3 linked regions of the Alligator mississippiensis genome follow. The protein of the gene in region 1 interacts with the protein of each later gene in a pairwise test. Links are inferred from orthologs where the notes say so. Each region holds a gene or a part of one and is shown in the gene's direction. Other genes may lie near its edges.

Evidence for each region.
Region 2: the proteins of ARL3 (region 1) and ARL2BP interact in binary tests that used the Homo sapiens proteins (3 or more experiments, as listed by UniProt). The link is inferred for Alligator mississippiensis from reciprocal best matches to the Homo sapiens genes ARL3 and ARL2BP.
Region 3: the proteins of ARL3 (region 1) and PDE6D interact in binary tests that used the Homo sapiens proteins (3 or more experiments, as listed by UniProt). The link is inferred for Alligator mississippiensis from reciprocal best matches to the Homo sapiens genes ARL3 and PDE6D.

The regions. Positions count from the first base shown.
Region 1 is NC_081829.1:99,163,641-99,171,550, forward strand, and holds the start of ARL3 (ADP-ribosylation factor-like protein 3), read left to right. Parts: upstream 1-4,905; 5' UTR 4,906-5,008; coding exon 5,009-5,011; intron 5,012-7,910. Other genes in the region: SFXN2 (sideroflexin-2), read right to left, coding at 739-909, 1,370-1,542, 1,829-1,858. UniProt on the Homo sapiens protein: Small GTP-binding protein which cycles between an inactive GDP-bound and an active GTP-bound form, and the rate of cycling is regulated by guanine nucleotide exchange factors (GEF) and GTPase-activating proteins (GAP).
Region 2 is NC_081833.1:37,228,159-37,235,790, forward strand, and holds the start of ARL2BP (ADP-ribosylation factor-like protein 2-binding protein), read left to right. Parts: upstream 1-4,630; 5' UTR 4,631-4,739; coding exon 4,740-4,783; intron 4,784-7,485; coding exon 7,486-7,547; intron 7,548-7,632. UniProt on the Homo sapiens protein: Together with ARL2, plays a role in the nuclear translocation, retention and transcriptional activity of STAT3. May play a role as an effector of ARL2.
Region 3 is NC_081830.1:84,859,936-84,867,908, forward strand, and holds the start of PDE6D (retinal rod rhodopsin-sensitive cGMP 3',5'-cyclic phosphodiesterase subunit delta), read left to right. Parts: upstream 1-4,913; 5' UTR 4,914-5,046; coding exon 5,047-5,096; intron 5,097-7,973. UniProt on the Homo sapiens protein: Promotes the release of prenylated target proteins from cellular membranes. Modulates the activity of prenylated or palmitoylated Ras family members by regulating their subcellular location.

The DNA.
Region 1 (7,910 bases):
GAGCTTGGTTAATAAGATAAGGGAGAACGGGGAGGGTTGGTGGGGCCAGGAGACATTTCCATCAGGCACTGCAGACTTGGTTTTGAGCCCGCTATTAGGCTGTGTTAGAGATGGGGGTGGGGAAGGACATACAGGCAGAAACTGCCACGTTTCAGGGAGTGTGGAGCCTCCCAGACAGTTTGGAAAGCCCCAGCACAACTGGACCCCACCAGGGAAACACCAGAAAGAGTGGCCAGTGCTCCTCTGGCCTGGGTATCCCCTGCCACGGGGCATCAGGGAGCGACACACTTGAATGAAGCGTGACCTAGAGAAGAGGGCACCGGGCTAGGAACCAGGGCACTTGAGCTCCTTCCACCGCAGCTCTGGCACCGGCTGCTAGCAGGGAACAAAACCGCCCTCCCGCTCCCTGCAGCCTCCCAGGCAGGTCGCGTTTTGTCCTTGAATTCAGGATTTCTGCCCCCACCGCGTCACTCCCAGAAAGGCTGGCATGTTGAAATGTGGCAGAGGAAGAGAGGGCAGGATGCAACGACAGCTTGGGCCAGGACGGGGAGGAGAGGGAGGAGGCTGCAACCCCTTGAAGGGCGCCCTGGCATGCAGGAGACGCCTGCTGCAAGCGAGACCTGCTCATCACGTTGCAGCACGCCGTGAGGGCGAGATCCCGTCCAACAGCCTTTTCCCACCAAGGGGCACTGGTCCGCCCCGTCCGCCCTGGCTCCCAACCTGTCCAGGGAGCATTACCTGTAGAACTGGAGCATGAAGCCCGTGATGGCCATGCCCCCGGGCACCTGGAACGACATCCTCCCGATGAGGTTCATCTTCTCCCCGCTGTCAGGGTGGAAGGCCGAGTCGTAGAGCTTCTTGGCATACAGCAGCTGCTCCTGGCTGGTCCCCGGCGGCACGACGCCTGCCCTGCCAACCAGAGAGCCATCAGCACCTGGGAGGCACCCACCTGGGCACAGCTGTGCCCTGCCGTCATGATCCTCCACCCATGATGTCCTGCCAAGGTGCCTGAGGCAGGGCTCTGCTGAAAAAGGGTTTCCCCCTGGGAGAGCCTGGTTTCCCCCGCCATGGGGCATCAGGGAGCTATACACCCAAATGACACGTGCTCCAGTACGTGGGAGCCAGGCCGCCCGACTCCTTCCACCAGATCTCGCGGTACCCCGGAGCCCTAGGTTCAAACTCCCCCCGTCGGCAGGAGTGCAAGGCTTTGCTCACCTCTTTCCTACCCGCGGGGGCTGGATGGGAACCCCCACCGGGAGGGCTCAGTGAGGAGCCTCGTGCTGCGTGTCGCCCCCATCCCAACCCCTCAATGGTTCACGGTGTAGCCCTGAGAAAGGCCTCCAGGCGCCTGGGCTGCCCAGCTGTGTACCTGCAGCCTTGCACGAGCACCTTGGCCCTGTCCAGCTCTTGCTCCGACACCAGCACCGTGCGTGGGTCCGTGATGTTGAAGAAGTGCTTGAGGCGCCCCACGAACGTGGTCTGGTCCCACCGCGGGGTATCGATGTCGAAGCTGGCCGAAGCGGGTGCCATTGTAAGGCGGAGCTGGAGAAGGGGAGCACTGGTAAACGGACCCCGCTCTCCCATGCCCGACACTGCCCAGAGATCAGCCTCCGCAACCAACCTGTCTCTGGTAACGCCCCCCGTCCCAGGCCACCCCGCAGAAGCCCAGGGAGAGAGAGAAGCAGTGAATAAGCCCATGTCATGGGCTCGTCCGCACTGCGAGACTCTCCCAGCATGGCGATGTAGGGCTTGCTGGTGTTCACCCAGCAAAGAGGGACCCAGACCCCGACTTCAGCCCCTACCATACAAGGCATCAAGCCAACCCCACCTTTGCCATCTCCTGTTGGTTCAGGGCCATGACGAAGTATTGCACCCCACCCAAGCCGAGGTAGGTCCATCGGCAAAATCCTCCTTTGGGCACGAGCGTAACATGGACAGGTCCACGGTCACATATCTGCACAGCGCCTAGCATGGGGTCAGAGCCCCTGGGGCTCGGCCTCTGTGCAGGCAGCAATCCCCGCTAGGCTCCCGCTCCAGCACGACACCAGCTCCCGTGTCCAAGGTCAAGGTCAAAATGGCCAAGTCCATTGACCAAGGAGGTCAAGGGTGCCAGTAGCTCCAAGCAGCTGGAGGGGGACACAGCAGCTTTCACCTGTGCACCATCCCTGGTGCATCACCACCTAAGCTTTATTATAGGGACTGATGTGCAGCGATGGGGGCGATTGCAAGCCAGCTCTTAACAAACCAATACAACCCACCAGCTTCCATCGTGCCTCGTAGACAGGGATGATTCAGACGGGGCTGGACCAGACGTGGCAACCAGAGGGCCCTGCCAGCCCGACCTCACTATGACTCTGTGCCCAGCACAGGCCGTGACTTTTATCCCACTCGGGAGCTGCTCCCTACAAACAGGGACCGAGATCCCCATCATGGCACCAGGATCCAAGAGCTGCTGGCACGGAGGTGGCCATGTAGCCACCGTGTTCGCTGGCTAAGCAGAGCTGAAGCAGGGGCATATCACAGAGCTCTTAAACCAGCCCTCTGAGCCCATCATCGGGCCCCTCTACTCAAACTGATCCCATTTGGGGTCAGGAAGGAATTTTCCCCACCATGATCAAATTGGTACGGACTGGGAGGGGATGGTCATTCTCCATAGCACGGCGCATGGCTTCTGCCTGGGATCTCTCGAGCATCCAGCCCCTCACGACTACAAAACGGCTCAGACAGCCCCCCACTGCCAAAGGGGTTTGGCACTACAGATTTTTATTTGAAATCTGGGCCGAGCTTGTAAATCACACGTAGGCAGTTGCAATGCTGCGCGCCACCCTTACAAGGATCTCACGGGACCCCCAAGCTGCTGCAGCACCCGGGTGGGAATCACGGGTCTAACCAAGCCATGGCTGGGGGGTAATACTGAATATGGAGCCAGATCCGACACTTCTGCAACCCTGAGAAAGAAACCTTCCCTTGGACCTCCCGGCCTGACTGCTTCACCACCTTGGTTTAATGTTTCGCAGGCCCCCGATCCTAAAGCCCCCCCACGGCTGTGGGTGCTTCGCTGGGGACCCTGCAGCCTGGGCTGAAAGAGCTCGAGAGCCCTCCGATCCTTTCCTTTGAGGCCAGCGACGCTGTCCCAGGCAGGGCTTTCAGACACTGCAGCTGCCCTCCAGTCCCATGCACTCCTTTAAGTGTCCCGGATATCGTTGTTGGGTCTGCAGAGGTTACAAGCTCCATCTGCCACGGATACTTCACAACGAGCCCCAACATTTCCAGCGGGAACCTGCCACGTTGCTGATTCCACGATCCTCGTAGGGTCAACACGAAGTAGGATCGTGTTTGAGGTCTAGTGTGGCAGCAATGGCGAGAACGTGGGCCTGGGAGGGGTTTCACTGCGACCTGGGACATCCCCACTTCCCTACGGCTCCTTGCAACGAGGAGACTCACCTGCCTCCCCAGAGCTGGCTGCAACCACCAACCGCTGCCTGCAGCGCTCTGGAGGTGGCGGCACCGGACGAAATAGCCAACGGCTAATGGTTGGGAGCAGGGGGAAGATCCTGGGATCCAAGCACTGGGAACAGCCCCATGCCAAAAACTCCCAGGCTAGGAGGAGGTTTCAAGCTGACTTACCGTGAGCGCGGTCCCAGCTGCCGGCTCTTAGCTGGAGCTCGCCAGCTGCGCACACACCGAGTCTTAGAGAAAGTTAATTATTCCCTGGATGAATGCAAAAAAAAGGTGACTTATAAAGCGCCATCACTGCCTGGGAAATGCTGCATCTTTCGCAATTCTCTGGGGCACTTGACGGGACCCCGAGGATCCTCACGAGGCACTTGGAAGAGGGGACGCGCAGCCTGCGCCCGTTTCAGACGGGGGAAATCGTAGAAGAGGCAGCGGCCAACCGGGGCTAGGTCCTGCTCCGTGCCCGGGGTACAGGCAGATTAAGGGACATGCCTCGGGACACCCAGGAGGGCAGTAGCAGAGCTGGGAAGCGGCCCGGCCTGCTCTCACGGGGACGGGGGTGGTGAAGCGACGGCGTCGCGAGGGCCCCTGACCCCGCTCCTGTCCCGGTGCCCGCGGGGGCAAAAGGCGCCCAGCGTCCCGCCATCCCCTGCAAAGCCTGGTTACTAATTGGGGACGCGGTCAGCCCCGTGAACCCCGGACGGGCGGGTCCGGCCTGCGAGTCAAGATTAACCCCCTGGTTACTGCCCAGCGCGCCGGGCGGGCGGGGGTCTCGCTCGCTCGCTCGCTGACCGCAAACGGGGCTGGCAACAGGGTCCGCACGCCACCCCACGAGGCGGGGGGCGCCGTCAAAACGCTGCGGGCGAGGGCGAGGGGCTGGAGGCCTGGCGGAGGGGATGTGCAGCACCCCGAGGGGTAGCCCTGGGCTCCCCCACCCCTGGGTGTGCACTGCGCTGCACTGCGCTGCACTGCACCCCCCCGCCACAGCAGCCACATTCGCCCCGGGCGCTGCGCGGGGCCCCACCACGCTTCACTGGCGCACTGCACTGTCGAGCACTGCACACGCCAGCACTGCGCCCACACTGGGCATCGCTGGCACGTGCTGCTCAAGGCCACGCTGCACAAGCCAACGCTGCACAGGCCCACCTGCGCATCGCTGGCACGTGCCGCACTACACCGGCGCACTGCAACCCCCCTCCCCCCGCACTGCACGCGCTGCCCCCCTTACCTGCCGCGTCTCCATCCCACGTGGGCGCCGCCGGCGTGGCCCGCCCCGGCCAATCAGCGCCCCGCAGCCACCCCGCCCCACCCCACCCCACCCCGCCTCCAGCGCCCAACACGCATGCGCCCGCTTCACAGCCCGGGAGGGGGCGGGGCTGGCCTTCCCCACCCCTTCCTCCTCCTACTCCTCCTCCACGCGCCGCTTCGCGCACGTTCCGTCCTTGCGTGCCTGCGTCACCGCGGCGGCGGCGGGGGGGGGGTGACGCTAGACGTCGGCGGCGCCGGCGTGCATGACGCAGTTGCCCATGGTAACCCGGGAGCCGCGTAGAGGATGGTGAGTGCCGGGGGGGCGCGGGCCGGGCCCGGGCCCGGGCGGGGGAGGGGAGGGGAGGGGAGGGGCGGCACGGGGGCCCCGCCAGGGAAGCGGGGCACGGAGCGGGCCCCCGCCAGGGCTGGGGGAGGGGCTCCCGGCGGCGGGGTGGCAGTGGCAGTGGGGTTGTCGTGACCAAACCCCACGGGTGGGCGGGCGGGCGGCGTGGCAGCATCGCCGTCCTATGTCCGCCGGCGGCGACGGGGCGGCACGCGCCGTTTCTCTCTGCGCCGAGGGAAGGCTGGTATGGAGAGGACTCCCTCCGCGCGCGGCGGCGGTGACCGGCGTCCGTCCGAGACAGGACCGTGCCGCGGCGTTCGGGAACAGGGTCCATTTCACAGACGGCAACACCGAGTCGCAGGCATCAGCCGGCCCCGCAAAACACCCCGCGTCGGATTCGGGGATCGTCGCCCCCGACCGCGAGCTGCCGGAGACACGACTTGAAAACCGGCGTCCCTCGAGGACGCCTGGAGAGCGGACCGAGGAGCTCCGCGACTTTCTCCTCCTCGTACGAGCCCGTTACGTCAGGCCTTTGCTTTAATTAGGTCTTAAAATTGGCGCCGACCGCCGGTAGCCGTCAAGGTACGGCCGGAGAAAACGTGTCGGTATTCTAGAAAAGAGACCTACGTTTCACGCGGGGAAAGGAGCAGGTTGGCAGCGTCCCGGTTGAAGCGCGTAGATGCAGGTTTCACGCGCGAGCTTTCTTCCTATGGAAATCTGCCCAGACTTCCTCCGCTCGGCTTCCTCGACTTTTTTTTTTCCCCCCTCCCCTCTGTTTTCGTAGAGCCCGTTTAATTTTGCACGTGCAAAAGCTGGAGATGTAGCTCTCTTGCAGGGCGGCAAAAGAGAAACCGGCGTGTGACCTCTTTTGACAGAAAGCTGCGTCAGTGGGTTTGAGCGGGGAAAGCTGTCTAGGTGAATTGAATCCGGCAAATGTTAGACTTCGGCACGGAAAGAAATTGCCCGCATTGAATGACACCATATGGTGGAGACACAGCAAGCTAATGACTTCATTGGGAGTTTTGCCAGCGTAAGAAGTACTGAATAAAGTGCGCTCAATAGATTAATTTACTGTGGTTGTATTTCGAAAAAGGCTGGGTGATTGGATGACCGTTAGGAACATTGTGGCGATGCGGGCTCGGAGAAAGGCAATCAAACGTCATTCATCCGGGCATCAGTCAGTCAGGTGCCGCCGTCGGGAAGGATTCCCCCCCCTCCACACGCGTTGCATAATGATGCGCCGCACGTGAACTGCGGCTGACGGCGAGAGATTGGGTACAACACACCATTTGCCCGAAACGGCTGGTGAGTCCGGTGTAAATCCAGCCACACCTTCTCCAAAGACCCTCCTTGCCTACCGTAGTCCGTGATCGGGGCTCCTAGGTTGCGGATCGAGAGTCCATGCTGCTCAAACACACAGTAGAGAGACGGTCTCTGCCCCACTCGGCGTACAGTCTACCCATGAGGCTAACGACCACGTAGGGCTACAGACGCATTGCAAGGTCCAGGGAGCAGCGAGACAGTCGGGTCAGTGTGGTCGGCGGTGGTGACAGCAGTTCAGCTCCTGGGAAGAGGACAAAGTTTTTTAGGCATCGACGTCAAGGTGGAGAAGGAGGCTGTTTTATGAGGAGGCCTCCCCCAGCATCTGGCAGCAGAGGCGCCGGCTTGAAATGTAATCAGTTGGGGATGGAGGCTGGAACTGGGCTTGACATCGCAGCGGCAAAGAGGATATGAAGGGCCTTGAAAGTACAGACAAATAGTTTGCGCTTCATGAGACGGAGGGGTAGGAGCCAGCGGAAGACGCGAGGAGAGGAGTCGACGTGGTCCAAGCGATGGTTTGGGTAGCGAAACTCTTTGCAGTAGGCCTGTACTTGAGCAGACTTCGCTGGAGCTGTCGTTAATGCCACATCTGCTCGGCAAACATTTATTGGTAACCAAGGGCAGGTTTCCCAGCAGTTATATTTTATATTCATTATCTGAGCTTTGCGGCTAATGCAGCTAAAGAGAAGCTATTTACTTCTAGGGACGCGACTCTCTGCTCTCTTTTGACTGCAAGGCCCCATCTTTAAGCTCAGAACATAACAGGAGATTGTTCCCTCCATTACACCCTTTATATCCTCCGTTCCAAGAGGATATTTACACAGGTTATTTCAATGCTCTCTTCCCCCAAGACTAATTTCTTATTTGGCCTATAAATGTGAATCTTGCTTTGAACTGCTTCTGTGGCACTGAACGCAGTTACATGCATCAGCTAGTTCTAGAAAGCCATACAGCTTGGATTTAAAGCTGAATAAACCCGCAAACCCCATAGCTAGGTCTATAAATGTCATTGCATTTTTATATACGTGTAGCTTTTTTCCTAAAGAAAACAGGATTACTGCATGGAGCTGTAACAAAAAGTCCTTTGGTGATTCTGTGGGTATTTTAAAACCTAGAAATGACATGCTTTCCCTCAACCACACATCCTTATTCTCTGAAGGTTATGGTGGTAACTTTCCCTCATTTCCAGCTTGCTCTGTTTCTCTCTTAAGACGGCACATAATATTCAATACTGGGTTCTGAATTTTTTTTGAAACTGTGCCATATAAATATATATTGCAATATCTTCATCCAGAAAATGGCACTCTCTCACTGATGGTTATGTCACATCCTAACCTCTCTGCCACCCTTTCCCCTAGCCACGACAAGCCTGAGTTTTGCTGCGCTCATATTCCACCCAGAGCGCTGCTACGAAGGTCCTGTTCAAGACCCATCATTTTTGGTCCTTTACATCCATTCACCGGCTTCCTAGATCATCTCCCACCCCCGGCAGTCCATGATGCCAGCCTTTAAACAGAAACATCGGTGCTTTCTTCCATACCCG
Region 2 (7,632 bases), on another chromosome or scaffold:
GTTTCTTTTTATGATCAGGTCACAAAGTCTCTAGACGAGGGTGTTGAGGTGGATGTCGTCTTCCTGGACTTTAAGAAGGCCTTTGACACGGTTTCCTGCCACATTCTCTTAAAAAAAAAAACTTGATGACTGCAGCATTGATGCCTACACTGTCAGATGGGTGGCAAATTGGCTAGATGGTCGCACCCAGAAAGTGGTGGTGGACAGGTTGTTTTTGATCTGGAGGGATGTGGGCAGTGGTGTCCCCCAGGGCTTGGTCCTGGGGCCTGTACTGTTCAAAGTCTTTATCAGTGATCTGGATGTGGGTGTGGAAAGCACGCTGTTCAAATTTGCTGACAACACCAAGTTGTGGGGTGAGGTGGGCACGCTGGAGGGGAGGGACAGAATCCAGCTAGATCTAGCATCATAGGCGAGCCTGTAGGCGAGCATCATAGCCCAGCCTCTAGCACGGATCTTTGAAAACTCTTGGCGCTCTGGCGTAGTGCCCAAAGACTGGAAGAAGGCCAATGTGGTGCCTATCTTCAAGAAAGGGAGGAAAGTGGATCCGGCTAACTATAGGCCCATCAGCCTGACTTCTATCCCAGGGAAGATCTTAGAAAAGTTTATTAAAGAGGCCATCCTTAATGGACTGGCCGACGCCAACATCTTAAGGGATAGCCAGCACGGGTTTGTTGCGGGTGGGTCTTGCTTGACCAATCTCATTTCCTTCTACGACCAGGTGACCTATCATCTGGACAAGGGAGAAGAGATTGATGTCATATATCTTGACTTCAAAAAAGCCTTCGATCTGGTTTCCCATGATCACCTCTTGGTGAAACTGGCCAATTGTCGCCTTGGGTCCACCACAATCCACTGGCTGGAAAATTGGCTCCGGGGTCGGACCCAGAGGGTAGTAATTGATGGAAGTCACTCATGGTGTCCTGTGACCAGTGGGGTCCCCCAAAGCTCTGTCCTTGGACCCATACTGTTCAACATCTTCATTAACGATGTGGACACTGGAGTCAGAAGCAGACTGGCCAAGTTCGCCGATGACACCAAACTTTGGGGCAAAGCATCCACCTTGGGAAGAAAAACCCGCAGCATCCTTATAGGCTCGGCAGTGCTATGTTGGCTAGCGCTATGGACGAAAGAGACTTGGGGGTCATCATTGACCACAAGATGAACATGAGCCTGCAATGCGATGCTGCAGCTAGTAAAGCGACCAAAACGCTGGCTTGCATCCATAGATGCTTCTCAAGCAAATCCCGGGACGTCATTCTCCCCTTGTACTCGGCCTTGGTGAGGCCACAGCTGGAGTACTGCGTCCAGTTTTGGGCTCCACAATTCAAAAAGGATGTGGAGAAGCTTGAGAGAGTCCAGAGAAGAGCCACGCGCATGATCAGAGGTCAGGGAAGCAGACCCTACGATGACAGGCTGAGAGCCCTGGGGCTCTTTAGCCTGGAAAAGCAGAGGCTCAGGGGTGATCTGATGGACACCTATAAGTTTATCAGGGGTGACCACCAGTATCTGGGGGAACGTTTGTTCACCAGAGCGCCCCTAGGGATGATGACTAGGTCGAACGGTCATAAACTACTACAAGACCGTTTCAGGCTGGACATAAGGAAGAATTTCTTTACTGTCCGAGCCCCCAAGGTCTGGAACAGCCTGCCACCGGAGGTGGTTCAAGCGCCTACATTGAACACCTTCAAGAGCAAACCGGATGCTTATTTTGCTGGGATCCTATGACCCCAGCTGACTTCCTGCCCTTTGGGCAGTGGGCTGGACTCGATGATCTTCCGAGGTCCCTTCCAGCCCTAATGTCTATGAAATCTATGAAAATCTAGACAAATTACAAAGGTGGGCAGATGAGACTAGGATAGAACTCAATGCAGACAAGTGCAAGATACTGCATGTAGGGAGAAGGAACCAGCAACACACCTACAGGCTCTGGAACACCCTTCTTGTTAACATGGTGGCAGAAAGGGATCTTGGAGTCATTGTTGACTCAAAGCTGAACGTGACCCGCCAATGCGAGGAAGCAGTCAGTAATGCTAACCACACCTTGTCATGCATCTACAGATGCATCACAAGCAGGTCCAGGGAGGTGATCCTTCTCCTCTACATGGCATTGGTCAGGCCACAGTTGGAGTACTGCATCCAGTTCTGGGTGCTGCACTTCAAGAGAGATGTGGCTAGCATTGAGAGGGTCCAGAGGAGGGCTACTCGCATGGTCAAGGGGCAGCAGGGCAGGCTCTACGAAGAGAGGCTAAAGGGCCTGAACCTGTTCAGCCTCCACTAGAGGAGAATGAGAGGGGATCTGGTGGCCCTTTACAAACTCACCAGGGGGGACCAATGGGAATTGGGGAAGGCACTGTTCCCTGTGGCACCACCAGGGGTTACTAGGAATAACAGCCACAAATTATTAGAGAGAAGGTTTAGGTTGGACATTGGGAGACATTACTTTACAGTTAGGGCTGCCAGGCTCTGGAATGGGCTCCCAAGTGAGGTGGTACTCTCTTCTACCTTGGGGGTCTTCAAGAGGAGGCTGGACAGACATTTGGCTGGAGTGATATGACCCTGGCACCCCTTCCTGCCCGGGGTAGAGGGTCAGACCTGATCTGTTTAGGTCCCTTCTGACCCTAAGCACTGTGATACTGTGAGTTAGACTAGTTCTGCTTGGAGAGCTCTTTATATCCTCTTCCTACTATAACATCCTTAGGCTTCTAGAGCTCTACAGAGACATGTCTTTTGTCTATGAAAGGAAATATTTGAGAAGGAAGCACCTAGAAGGTTGAGTGATGGATCAGGGTGACTTTATAGTATAAGGAGATCAGAAGGGGAGGTATACGTATTAGTGCTGTGCTTCACCACCTTGAATGGAGTTTACCTGGAAGGAAAGAAACAGATTTTAAATACACAAATGGTGGAACAGCCTTTGAATTATTTGGATAATTTAGATGTTTGCTATTGTTCTATAACTACAAGAAATTTAAGTGCTAGACTTTAACTTGTAGAATAGCAGAGTTAAAGTGGAGTTTTATCAGGTTGCATCTGCTTTCAAAATCAAAAGTGTTTTGAACATTAGAACTTGCATGCTTTGCAAGTGGGATATAAAATAAACACCTTACCTGAGGTTAAGCAGCTTTTGGCTAAACCTTTCCTGATTTTTTTGTATGATTTCATTTGGAGGGAATGGAAAAAAGGCCTTGAAGGACTGCAGCCCTAACAATTTGGGAGAACAGAACCAAGATTTTGAATTTGAATCAGAATTTTCTGGGAAGTTGATGGCAACATCCAGCACCAGTGTGCTGCGTTTGCAGCAGCTTTGTTATACAACAGGTAGGCTGCCACAGTTGCCACCAGCTCAAGCTTTTTTCAGGTGGTCTCCTTCATATTCAGATAAATGTTTGAAATAGAGTTTAAAGGTCGTACATGTGGCTTGCGGTTCAATAACCAAATTGAATGGAATGGGATTTTACAGAGCAGTGAGTTACTGGAACAACTACAAGTAAACTTAGCAATTGCCATGAATCACTCATTTTGACAGTCTCTCTCTCAAACTTGTATTGACTTGGAATATTGTACATTCAAAAGTGTACTTAACAGTGTAATTGTAAAATTAGGACTTCCTCACATTGTGCATGTGAAAGCAGTCTATTCAGTCAATTTATTTATTTCATAGGTTTATAGAAAACTAGGGCTGGAAGGGACCTCAAAAAGTCTACTCCAACCCCCTGCCTCCGGAGCAGGACTGTTTCCCAAGTGGATCATCCCAGCCAAGGCTTTGTGTACCCAGGCCTTAAAAACCTCCAAAGATGGAGCGTCCACCACCTTTCTGGGTGACCTGTTCCAGTGCTGCACTCCCCTGCTAGTGAGAGAGGTTTTTCCTAATATCTAACCTGATATTTCCTTGTAACTTGACCATTGGCTTTTTTGAGTATCTGCCACCACTGAGAACAGTCCAGCTCCATCCTCTTTGTAACAACCTTTTGAGGTATTTGAAGGTTGTTCCTGTTGTTAAAGGGCAGTGCGCTGGAATTGGCATCCCTTTAACATGACTCAGTACGCATGTAACGTCCACGGGGGGGCGGGCTGCTAACACAGCCTCGGCCTTCTCCGAGCTCTGGCTGCACAGCTGTGCTGTCCGAAGCACCTGTCTGATCTCCTCTGGGTCTGGCCTCGCCCTTGCGGCTGCCCGCTTGATTTCTGTCATTAAACCGAGTGCCCAGATCTCAGGCCCGGCAGCCGGTGCCGGGCGGCCTGTGCGAGGCGCGCGGCCCAGCGGGGTGCGCCAGGAACTGCGACCGGCGGCACGTGCGAGACGCCCCACGCTCCCGCCCGCCATCGTCACGCCGCCGGGCCACCGGGCGCTGCACCACCCAGCCGGGGACACGTCACCACTGCCGCGCTCTCCCATTGGCCCGGCCCTTTCCCTTGGGGGCGGCCCCCTCGCTCAGCATTGGCTGCAGCTGCCGGAAGGAGGCATTTCCTAGGCAACCGGGCAGGACATAACCGTCCAGTGGGGAGGCCTGCCCGGCTCGGCCGTGCGGAACGTGCTGCCCCCGGGTGCCCGCGGCGGGGCCGCTGTCCGGGGCCGGGCGTGCGCAGCCAGCGGACAGAGCCCCGCTCGTGCCCTGGGGCAGGGGGTGGAGCGGCCACGGCCTCCGCGTGTGCGCGCGCTGGGCTGCCCCCGGCCGGGGGCCGCGGTGTTTTCTCTTTTCCCCCCGGCTGCTCATTCCGCAGGTGAGGCGGCGGCGGCGATGGAAACGGCAGAGGAAGAAACCCTGGAAACGTGGGTGTCCGTGTGAGTGGCCGGAGCTCCGCGGGGTTTGGCCTCGGTTAAAGGAGCTTCACGGCTCCAGGGCAAGAAACCCGCGGTGTTAGGAGCAGGTCCGAGCTGACTCTACCCAGCCCACGGCTCGTCCCTCGGCCCACCTGGCCCCAGTGCAGGGGGCAGCCTGGGCTGTGCTGTATTGGCTGGTTCGGCCACCCCGGGCATGCAGCAGGGTAGGGGCAGCACAATAGCCAAGTTCAGCTTCCTGGCGGCCCCTGTAGGCAGCTCACTCAGCCCACTTACTGCCACTAGTGTCTCCGCTGCCACCAGACCCAGCCTCACTGCCTGAGCACCCCAGCCATCTGCCCTACACCCACCACTGGACAGAGCAGGCAGGCAAGGCCCCTGTGGAGACCAGCTAAAGACCCCCGCAGGCAGGGTGCACTCATCCAGACAGAAAGGATGGGGCTGCAGGTGGGTGGGGAGCTATGTCCAGGAGCAGGATGGGTGGGACTGGGTCCAGGACCATGGAGTAGTGACAACATGGAGCCGGGGCAGAGCCACGATCCGCTCCCTGCATGTTCTTGCCTACGGAACCGGCTCCCAGTGCGGGGGGGGGTGTGGGGAGCTGATCGTGGCTCTGCCCCAGCCCCATGCTGTCATTGCTCTGCAATCCCATCCCATCTGCGGGGCTGAACACACCCTGCCCTCAGGGATCCCCAGCCAGTCTCCAGGGAGACCCCACTTGCCCACTCTGTCCAGCACCCTTGGCGGTAGGTACGGGGTGGATGGGCCAGGGGCATGATAGGATCAGTTGCCCCCATCCTCCTTTGCTCCTCTGCTGTACTGGGCCAGTTCAGTGCACCCCCCCCCTCGCACCCCCCCAGCCTACAACAGCTCACCAGAACTCCTTAAGTGGCCCTCAGCCCAAATAATTGCCCACCCATGTGCTAGGCTATATAGTGGGATTTAGCTGTTGTTTGTAGACTTGTCTTAATAGTTTTCTTCTGCCTTCAGGTGGCGTGTCAGACTGCTGTTCATTCGTGTTTTCTGCATGTGCACTACCAGCATTTAACATAGAGGAGTGTCAAACTTATGTGGTTTCGCAGGCTTGCTGTGGTACTTGGGGCCAGTCTGCAGGCCAGATTGGGCCTACAGACTCACCCTTATGCTGTAGCCAGCCCACAGGGCAACATGCCTTGGACCAGTCTGGCTTCAGCCCTCATGCATGCTGGCCCTACCCTTGCACATGGCATGTGGGATGAGTCCAAGCTGTGTGCTACACACAGGGTTGGTCTGCAGTGTGTGTAGCACCTGCACTGGACCGGCTGTGTGCTGGATCTGGCACTGGCGGCCAGTCTATGGGCCTGATCCAAAGCAGCCCTGGATCCAATGTGCAGGGCCAGTCCAATGCAGGTGCTGCATAAAGTTCACCCCAGACTGGCCCTGTCATGTTTAGCCCACATGAAATGGGCTTTACACTGCATGCAAGGCCAGGGCAGGGCCAGCACATGCTGCCTGGGGCCAGTCAGGCAGCGCTGAAGGCAGGATGACAGGGTTCTGCGCGGTGTATTTTTGATGCCCAACTTAACAGATCACAAATGTAAGCATTGCTGAACTTTATTTTGCTGTAAAAATTATTAACAGCAAAATAACTTTGTAGATTATTTTTTAAAAATATGGTTTGAAGTAAGATTCTTCTTTGCATGAGAGAGATGGAGAACAATTTCCATACAAGATAGTCTGTTGCTTTGGCTAAGGAACATAGTTCGCAAGTGTGCCGCCAGGTTTTCACCTTTGATGTGAGGAGGAAAAAAGTCTGTGCCCCTAAAACATACTGAGGAAACTTTTTTTTTTTTATAATTTACCCATAACCCCAAAACTGCTGCCAAATGCCAGAGTCAGGGAAGCTTTGAATTATTGGATGTCTGTAGAAAACATCAAGAAACATAAAATTGGCAGAGGGACTCAGTCTTCTGAGGTGCTGCTAATGGGATTCCTCATATAAACAAGTCTGTTTGAATAAGGGCATGTAGTTTTTGTTTTCTTGTTGCAAAATAACGGAAGCTACTAATTCATTTTTAAGTAGGATTTAGCAATCCATATAGATAGGGACTGTTGTATCGGCTGATCGTGTAGGATCTGTAGTTTTGCATCCCAAAAGTTAAAAGTTTAGTTTTGACTCTTTCATCACCCTCTTTGTGATTATGTTATATTGGAAAAATGTTAAATAATTATTTCCAGTAAGTACTTTACTTTAGTTAATCCTATTGTGTACATTTTTTTTTTTAGTTTATATGTGAGTGAGTGTTTAGGAGATGATCAGGACTACAGTTTAGCAGTATATGAAATGGGGATTGAAGCTTTATTTTTTTCACATGGAGTCATAATTTGAAAAAGGTGTAGGCTGCTGGTCCAAATGCAAGTCTTCAGTAATTTCTGGAGCCTCTCCAAGAAATGAATTTACACTAGTAATAATGCCCTGCAGAATAAAGCTTTGTTTTCACCAACTAGCTATCCTTAGTATCTGATGGAAACTTAATGAGATTAAGGCCTGCCACAGGGATTAATAGTTTTAATATCAAGTAATTTTTGTGTGCAGTGAGCCTTTTTTATAATGTAAACCAGGGAAAGTATTCATTTTGCTGATGTGGTATCAGGGTAATTGCACTAATTTATATTTAGGGTTCCATTAACAATTTAAGACTAATCTTCCTTTTTCTTGTTTTCAGATCTTCCCCTTCAGAAGCAGAATTTGATGCTGTGGTTGGGTATTTAGAGGATATTATAATGGGTAAGCTCCTGCATCTAGATGTGCCTTAAAATAAGCAATAAAAGTATTGAGGGGCAGGATATACATTGCATTCTACTGATAGAAG
Region 3 (7,973 bases), on another chromosome or scaffold:
TGTTCCTCTCTCACTTGCAGCCTCCAGCATTTAAGGTCCAGGAAGTTGTGACTCAGAGGTCGTGCACCCCACTCCTGTGCTCAGTAGCGACTGATGCCCCTTTCCTCCAAGGACATGTCCTACCCATTGGTGGATCTGGCTGAGCTGTCCGCTCCCACCACGTCTGAACTCCATGCTGCAGTGACACGCTGAGTGAAAAAGAACTTCCTTTTGGTAGTTTCCAACTTACTACCTACTGGCTTCATGCTGGGACCCCTCGTTTTTGTCTCGTGAGAGACAGAAAATAATAAACCCCTATTGACTTTCTCCTTGCCATTTAGTATTTTGTAAGCTGGGGTGGGCAATTCCTTGGGTTGGACGGCCACTTAAGGAGTTTTCAGGAGCTGTTGCAGACCGAGGGGAAGGAGAGGGTCCTGACTTGGCCCAGTGGATGGGGGGTAGGGGGCAAAGGTGGGGTGCAACTAATCCTGTCTGGCCCCAGCCCTGTCCAGCCTGCGCCCACTGCCAGAGGTGCCAGGCATGGAGACTGGTCCAGGACCCCTGCGGGCAGCATCTACTTGGCCGGGCAGAAGGGAAGGGACTGCAGGCGGGGGTGGGGGCAGTGTTGGGGAGGATGGGGCTGGGATCATGGGGCAGCGACAGGGCAGGGCTGGGGCCTGGGGCAAAGCCACAATCCACTCCCCACACGTCTCTGCCCACGGGACCAGCGCCCGTCACAGGGACCTGTGGGGAGTGGGTCGTGACTCTGCCCCAGGCCTCGGCCCTGTACTGTCACTGCCCCATGATCTCGGCTCCAGCCCCAGCCCTGGCTGCCTGTCCTGTTCTTGGATGCTGCTCCCCGCACACCTGCGGCCCCATCCCATCTACCCAGCTGAACACGCTCTGCCTGCAGCAGTCCTGGGCCAGGCCCCATGAAGACCTCACCTGCCCGCCTGCTCTGTCCAGCACCCACGGTGGTGCGTGCAGGGTGGATGGGCCGGGGTGCCTGGGCAATGGGGCCGGGTCTGGCAGTGGTGGCAGTGGTGACACTGGCAGCAACAGCCGGGCAGAATGAGCTGCCACCACATGAATGCCACCAACATCATTGATGTCACCAACATCTTCATCACTGATCTGGATGTGGAGGTGAAAAGCAAACTGACAAAGTTTGCCGATGACACTAAGCTGTGGGGAAGTGTGGCCACACATCAGGGTAGGCTGATGATCCAGGCAGACCTAGACACATTAATTAGGTGGGTGGACCAGAACCAGATGCTGTTCAGCACTGAGGAGTGTCAAGTGCTCCATCTGAGGAGGAAAAATCCACAAACTTACAGGCTCGGTGGTGCTACGGTACCTAACACCATGTCCAAAAGGGACCTGGGGTTCATAATTGACCATAAAATGAATACGAGCCACCGGTGTGATGCTACATTTGGCAGAACAAACAATACGCTGGCGTGCATCAACCGATGCATCTCAAACAAAACGAAGGAAGTTTTTCTTCTGCTCTACTCAGCATTGGCGAGGCTGCGGCTGGAGTAAGGCGTCCAGTTCTGGGAGCCATCCCTCAAGAAGGATGTGGAGAAGCTCGAGGGAGTCCAGAGATGAGCCACTCGTATGATTAGAGGCCCGAAGAGCAAGCCATACGAGAAAAGGCTGACAGATCTGGGACTGTTCAGCTTAGAAAAGAGAAGACTTCAGGGGGATTTGGTGGCAGCTTGCAAATATATCAGGGGAGAGCATCAGGGGCTAGATGAACAACTATTCACCAAAGTGCCTCAGAGGAAAACCAGGAGCAATGGACATAAACTCCTAGAAGAAGGTTTCAGACTGGATATAAGGAAAAACTTCATGGTTTGTGTGACCAGACTCTGGAATAGACTCCGGGTGGGGCTGGTGCAGGCACCTACCTACCGAAAGGCCTTTGAACTAGTATCCCACAATGTCCTCTTGAGAAAGTTGGAGGATTGTGGGCTTAACTCCGAGACAGTCAGGTGGGTGAGAAACTGGCCGCAGGACAGAACCCAGTCGTAGTGAACGGATCTGTGTCATCCTGGCAAGAAGTGGGCAGCGGCGTCCCGGCAGAGTCGGTGCTTGGTCCTGTACTTTTCAACGTCTTTATTAACAATTTGGCTGTGGGGGTGAAGAGCTCATGGGCCAAGTTCACGGATGACACCAAGTTACCGGGGAGTGTGGTCACGCTTGAAGATAGGCTACAGATACAGGTGGACCTAGACAGGCTAGCAAGTTGGGTGGACAGGAATCTGATGAAGTTCAACATCGAGAAATGTAAAGTGCTGCACCTCGGGACGAGCAACCCCCACACACCTACAGGCTTGGCAGCACCAAACTGACCAGCACCACGAATGAAAGGGACCTGGGGGTAATAACAGACCACAGTATGAATATAAGCCGGCGGTATAACGCTGTAGCCAGCAGAGCAAATAGTACTCTGGCGTGCATCAATCGATGCATCTCCGACAAAGCCAAGGCAATGATTCTTCCGCTCTACTCAGCACTGGTGAGACTACAGCTGGAGTACTGCGTCCAGTTCTGGGCATCGCACTTGAACAAGGACGTGGACAAGCTTGAGAAAGTCCAAAGAAGAGCCACCCGCATGATCAGAGTCTTAAAAGGCAAGGCATACGAGGAAAGGCTGAGGACGTGGGACTCTGCAGCCTGAGGAAAAGAGGGTGAGAGGAGACCTGGTAGCAGCTTACCGCTGCACTAGGGGAGTACATCAAGGGCTCGGTGAGCAACCGTGCACCAGGGCACCTGAGGGGAAAACCAGGAGTAATGGCCACAAACTCCTGGAAGATCGATTCAGGCTCAATGTTAGGAAAAACTTCTTCATAGTCAGGGTGTCCAGACTGGAATAAGCTCCCTCCAGAGGTGGTGCAATCACCGACCCTGGACATCTTCAAGAGGAGATGACGGTCACCTCGCTGGGGTCGCCTGACCCCCAGTTATCTTTCCTGCTTGGTGCAGGGGGCTGGACGCGATGATCTTCTGAGGTCCCTTCCGGCCCCTTACAATCTATGAATCTACCCTGGAGCTCTTCCAAAGGAGACTGGACGCACACTGTGCTGGGGTTATTTGACCCCCGCAGTCTATCCAGCCCACAGCAGGGGGGCTGGGCCCGATGGTCTCACGAGGTCCCTTCCAGCCCCAAACTTCTGTGAATCTGAATCAGCCACTGCACCGCCTCCTGGGCACGGCAGGACCAGCCACACACGCCACAGCCCAGGCTGCCCCCCACGCCTGGACTATGTGGGACAGAGGGACCCAGCACAGGCTGGACAGAATCACTTGGTGGACCAGATCCGAGCCGTATTTTGCCCACCCTGTTGTAAACCCCTATCACGACCCCCGCCGAGGCGTCTCTTTTTCTAAGTGGAACAGGCCTGGCCTCCTTAATCTCTCCCCCGATGGCAGCCCCTCCGTGCCACTGATCATCCGTGTCGCCCTTCCCTACTTCTTCTGCATCCTTTCTGGGGTGTGGGGACCAGAGCCGGGTGCAATATTTACGGTGTGGATGCCCCATGGATCTACAAAGGGGCATCACGATAGTCTCCGTTGTGTTCACGATTGCCTCAATATTCCTGAACGTGGTGTTTGCCTTCTTGACGGCAGCCGGGCCCTGACGCAATGTTTTTAGTAAACCATCCACAGTGACTCCCTGATCCCCATCCCGTGTCATGGAGCAGAGTCCGCTCTGCTGGTGGAGACTATCAGTGCCCCCAAACCCTGCTTCTTTACAGGAAGAAAACACCCCCTGCTTCCTGGGAGTTGAGGGAAAAGAAGGAGCTCCCAGAGGTGGAGAGGAGCCAGGGTCTCCAAGCCAGAGGAGCAGCCCCTTGTGAAGCACCTGGCTGCAGGGCTGCTCTCAGCAGAGGGAGACCGAATAAGGAGGGGTCCCAAGGGAGAGCTTCCTCCTCCCCTGGGAAGGGGCAGTGGGACCCTTCCCTGCACATGGCTTGCACACAGGGTCTGGCGTTGCCAGGTTTTAAATATGGAATTATTACATTGGAAACTCAAAATACACTGAAAAAGTATGCAAATAAGCTTTCTTCTTTGTTCTACATTGCTGTGTGACTCCAAGTGAGTGAGAGCTGGGCCATCAAAAATGAAGCATTTCTTTATTCCCAGGCAAAGCAAAACGCTGGCCGCAAACCCAAAAGTTAGCAAAGATGACCTGAGAGTGACTGGGGTTTTGCATATGCTGCGCCAAGGAGCTGCCTCCAAAATGACAGCTTTCTACCCCAAAGCTTGCAAAGAACAATTTTCCCAACTCTTGGAGTTGGTTTAATCAAAGATATCAGATTTACACGAAGACCCTTGTCTCCAAAATGCGGGGCCATTTGAACACTGTTACTATGACTGATTGCCAGGGATCCTGGTTTTCCTTGATTTCAAAAAATCCTCACTTTTCGGTTAAAAAAAAAAAAAAAAAGTAACCCCAAATCCACATTTTTCCATGATTTAAAGACCACTATGTCTATATCTCTATATTAGTGGCTTTTCATTTAATCACGGGAAAATGTGGATTTGGGGTTCCTTTTTTTTTTTAAACCGAAAAGTGAGGATGTTTTGAAATCAGGGAAAACGCGGATCCCTGCGGATCGCACATGGTGCGAGAGCGGGGCCCCGCACGTGTCTCGCGCACTCTCACGTGGCGCCCGCAGGGGGCGCCGCGCCGCGCCCTTTGCAGTCCCCAGCGGCCGCGCCCCTCGCACATATTTGTCCCGCTGCGGCTCCCATCCCCGCGGCGACGTCAGGTCGCCAAGAGGGAGGGGGCGTGTCTCCTCCACCGCCCCTACTTGCGCAGCCGCCCTTGCTGGCTGCCAGGCCGCGCCGCGCTCTCATTGGCTGTGGGCGCTGTCCGTCCGGCACCGGGGGGCGGAGCGGCGAACGCCCATTGGCTGGCCCCGCCCGGGCTGGGTCGTGGCGGCTGCGGGCTGTGAGGCGCCGCGGTCCGCGCCCGAGCCCGCACGACCCGACCCGACCCGTCCTGTCTTGTCCTGTCCTGTCCTGCGCCCGGGGCGGCGCCAGCGCCGCGGGACCATGTCGGCCAAGGACGAGCGGGCCAAGGAGATCCTGAGGGGCTTCAAGCTGTATCCGCCGGGCAGGGTGGGGGCTCCGCGTTGCCATGGGGACCGCGCGGGGGGGGGCGGAGCCCACTTCGTGGGGGGAGGGGCTGCTCGGGCCCGTCCAGCGGGATCCTCAGTCCGTCCAGGGGGTGCTGAGTCTCTAATGGGGGTCTGCTTGTGTCCACCCAGGGGGCGGAGGGCCTGTTCTGGGGGTCCCAGGTTCATGCAGGGGGGTCCTGAGCCCATCCAGGGAGGCCATGAGCACATCCAGGGGGCGGAGGATCTGTTCTGGGGGTCCTGGGTTCATCCAGGAGGGTCCTGAGCCCAGCCAGGGGGTGGAGGGCCTGTTCTGGGGGTCCTGGGTCCATCCAGGGGGGTCCTGAGCCCAGCCAGGGGGTGGAGGGCCTGTTCTGGGGGTCCTGGGTCCATCCAGGGGGGTCCTGAGCCCAGCCAGGGGGTGGAGGGCCTGTTCTGGGGGTCCTGGGTCCATCCAGGGGGGTCCTGAGCCCAGCCAGGGGGTGGAGGGCCTGTTCTGGGGGTCCTGGGTCCATCCAGGGGGGTCCTGAGCCCAGCCAGGGGGTGGAGGGCCTGTTCTGGGGGTCCTGGGTCCATCCAGGGGGGTCCTGAGCCCAGCCAGGGGGTGGAGGGCCTGTTCTGGGGGTCCTGGGTCCATCCAGGGGGGTCCTGAGCCCAGCCAGGGGGTGGAGGGCCTGTTCTGGGGGTCCTGGGTCCATCCAGGGGGGTCCTGAGCCCAGCCAGGGGGTGGAGGGCCTGTTCTGGGGGGTCCCAGGTCCATCCAGTGTGGTCTTGAGTTGATCCTGTGAGTCTAACTGGAGGGTGCCGAGTCTGGCGTGGGGGGAGGGGGGGGTCCTGAGTCTGTTCAGGGGGTCTTATACTTGCCCCTCCCCCACATAGACTCATGGCCCCCCTGGATGGACTCATGGCGGGGGCATGAGTCCATTTGGGAAGCTACGAGTGTTTTTTTGGGGGGAGGGGCGGTCTCAGGTCCATCCAGATCTGGAGTCAATGCAGGGGCCGGCAAGCCCAATGCGGGGGGGGGGGTGAGTCTGATGTGGGGGTCTTGAGTCCATCCAAGGGGGGGCATGAGTCTTTCTCTGGGGGTCTCGAGTCTATCCAGAGGCTGTGAGTCCATCTGTGGGGCCGTGAGTCTGTTCTGGGTACCTTAGACTTGTGGCCCCTGCTGTAGCCTGATGGCCCCCCCTGGGTGGAGGCATCTGGGGTGGGGGTATGAGTCCATCTGGGAGGCCACGAGTCTGTCCAGGGACTGCAGGTGTGTGGGGGGGAGGTTCGAGTCCAGGCAAGGGACCACTGCTCTGTGGCAGGCCGAGAGCTGCTGGCCAAGGGCTTCGCTCCCTCCCCGAGGTTGCAGCAAAGGTTGAGCCCGAGAGCAGGAGGAGGAGCGCAAGCATGACGGGCTCCGGGGAAGGAGGTGTGCATGCCGGTTTTGTGGCTATGCTTAGCACAGGGGCAGGAGGCAGAGCTGGGTGCTGGCTGCACCGCTCCTCGCTGACAGCGTGGGGGAAGGGGCCAGACACGGGCGATGTAATTCTGTGGTATTTTTGGATGCCGTTTTTACCTAACGGGACTTCCCCTGCAGTGAGATGCATATAATCTCTTTACCAGAGATACATATAATCTCTTTACCAGCTGCATCAGGATCCGAGCTTCTAGATGTTGGATTTAGCCAAATGGCTACCATCAAATGGCAAGCAGATGCTTCTCTCTGTAAGATCATGAAGTCCTTTCTCTCTCCTCTCACCCCCCAAACCATCTGGTTTTGGGATAGTTTCCTTTTTTGTTTCCAAAGTAGCAGCAGCAAATCTTCCTGAAGCATGCAGTATGATATTTCAGTTGTCAGAAAGATGCTTAGACCAAAGGCCATTAGAGGCTAGTCAGAAGTTCAAGCTAACTTGCCGGCAGCAGCAAAGACAAAACAAAAAGTAGCTTTACGCTGGATTTCAGGAAAGACTTCTTGACTGTCAGAGCAGGGAGGCAGAGGAATAGACGCCAGGGAAGGTGCAGACTCCCTCGCTGGAGGGGTTCAAGGAGAGGTTGGACAGCCACTGGCTGGGGATGATCTGGTGTAGCGATGCCTATGCTGTACCGTGGGGATTTCTTTGCTTTTGGGCTTTTCTGGCTGACCCATGGGTCGGAAAGGAATCTTTTCCCCTCCTGCTGGTGGGGAGTCTAACATCACTATATTTGGTGTCAGGAAGCAATTTTACCCCCTGGTTAGGTTGGTCCAGACAGTTGGAGTTTTGCCTTCTATAGTAGGAGGTGTGTCCTCTACTTGGGATCTCTTGAGCAATTAATGATCTTTGCTGCAGCAGGATGTTGGCTTTACTTGTGGCAGGTTAGGGCATTACGTCTTGTGTTGCATCAGGATTGACTGTGGATTTATATGGGATGGCTTGAACAGGGCTGATCTTGCCTCAGGCAGGGGTTGGACTAGATGTGACCTGGAGCCGTCTTCCAGCCCCAGGGCTCTAGGAATCTGTTAAGTAATCTCCAAGGACTCTAAGAAATGAACAAGCACAAAATAAAATTGATATTCTTGTTGGGTCAGTATGTATAGGGACCGCATGTATCTTCTGCTTTCTAGGGAACTTGGCCACAGCTATATTTAAGTGTTGCATGAATTAAGCCCTGTGTATAGTTAAGATTACTCAAAGTAAAGTGTTTTGTCACCTTTCAAGGCTGGGGGGAAGAGGAGGTCGTGCAGGTGTAACTTTCCACTATTTTCAGCAGACATAGTTAGTATTTGTCCTACCTGAACCTACCTAAGTGGGCCAGCTTAATAACCTAAATGTTACTGCTTAGTACAGCCATGTGGGAGCAGTCCAAGTTCAGTCTTTGTTCACTTCCTGGAATGACTGGGCC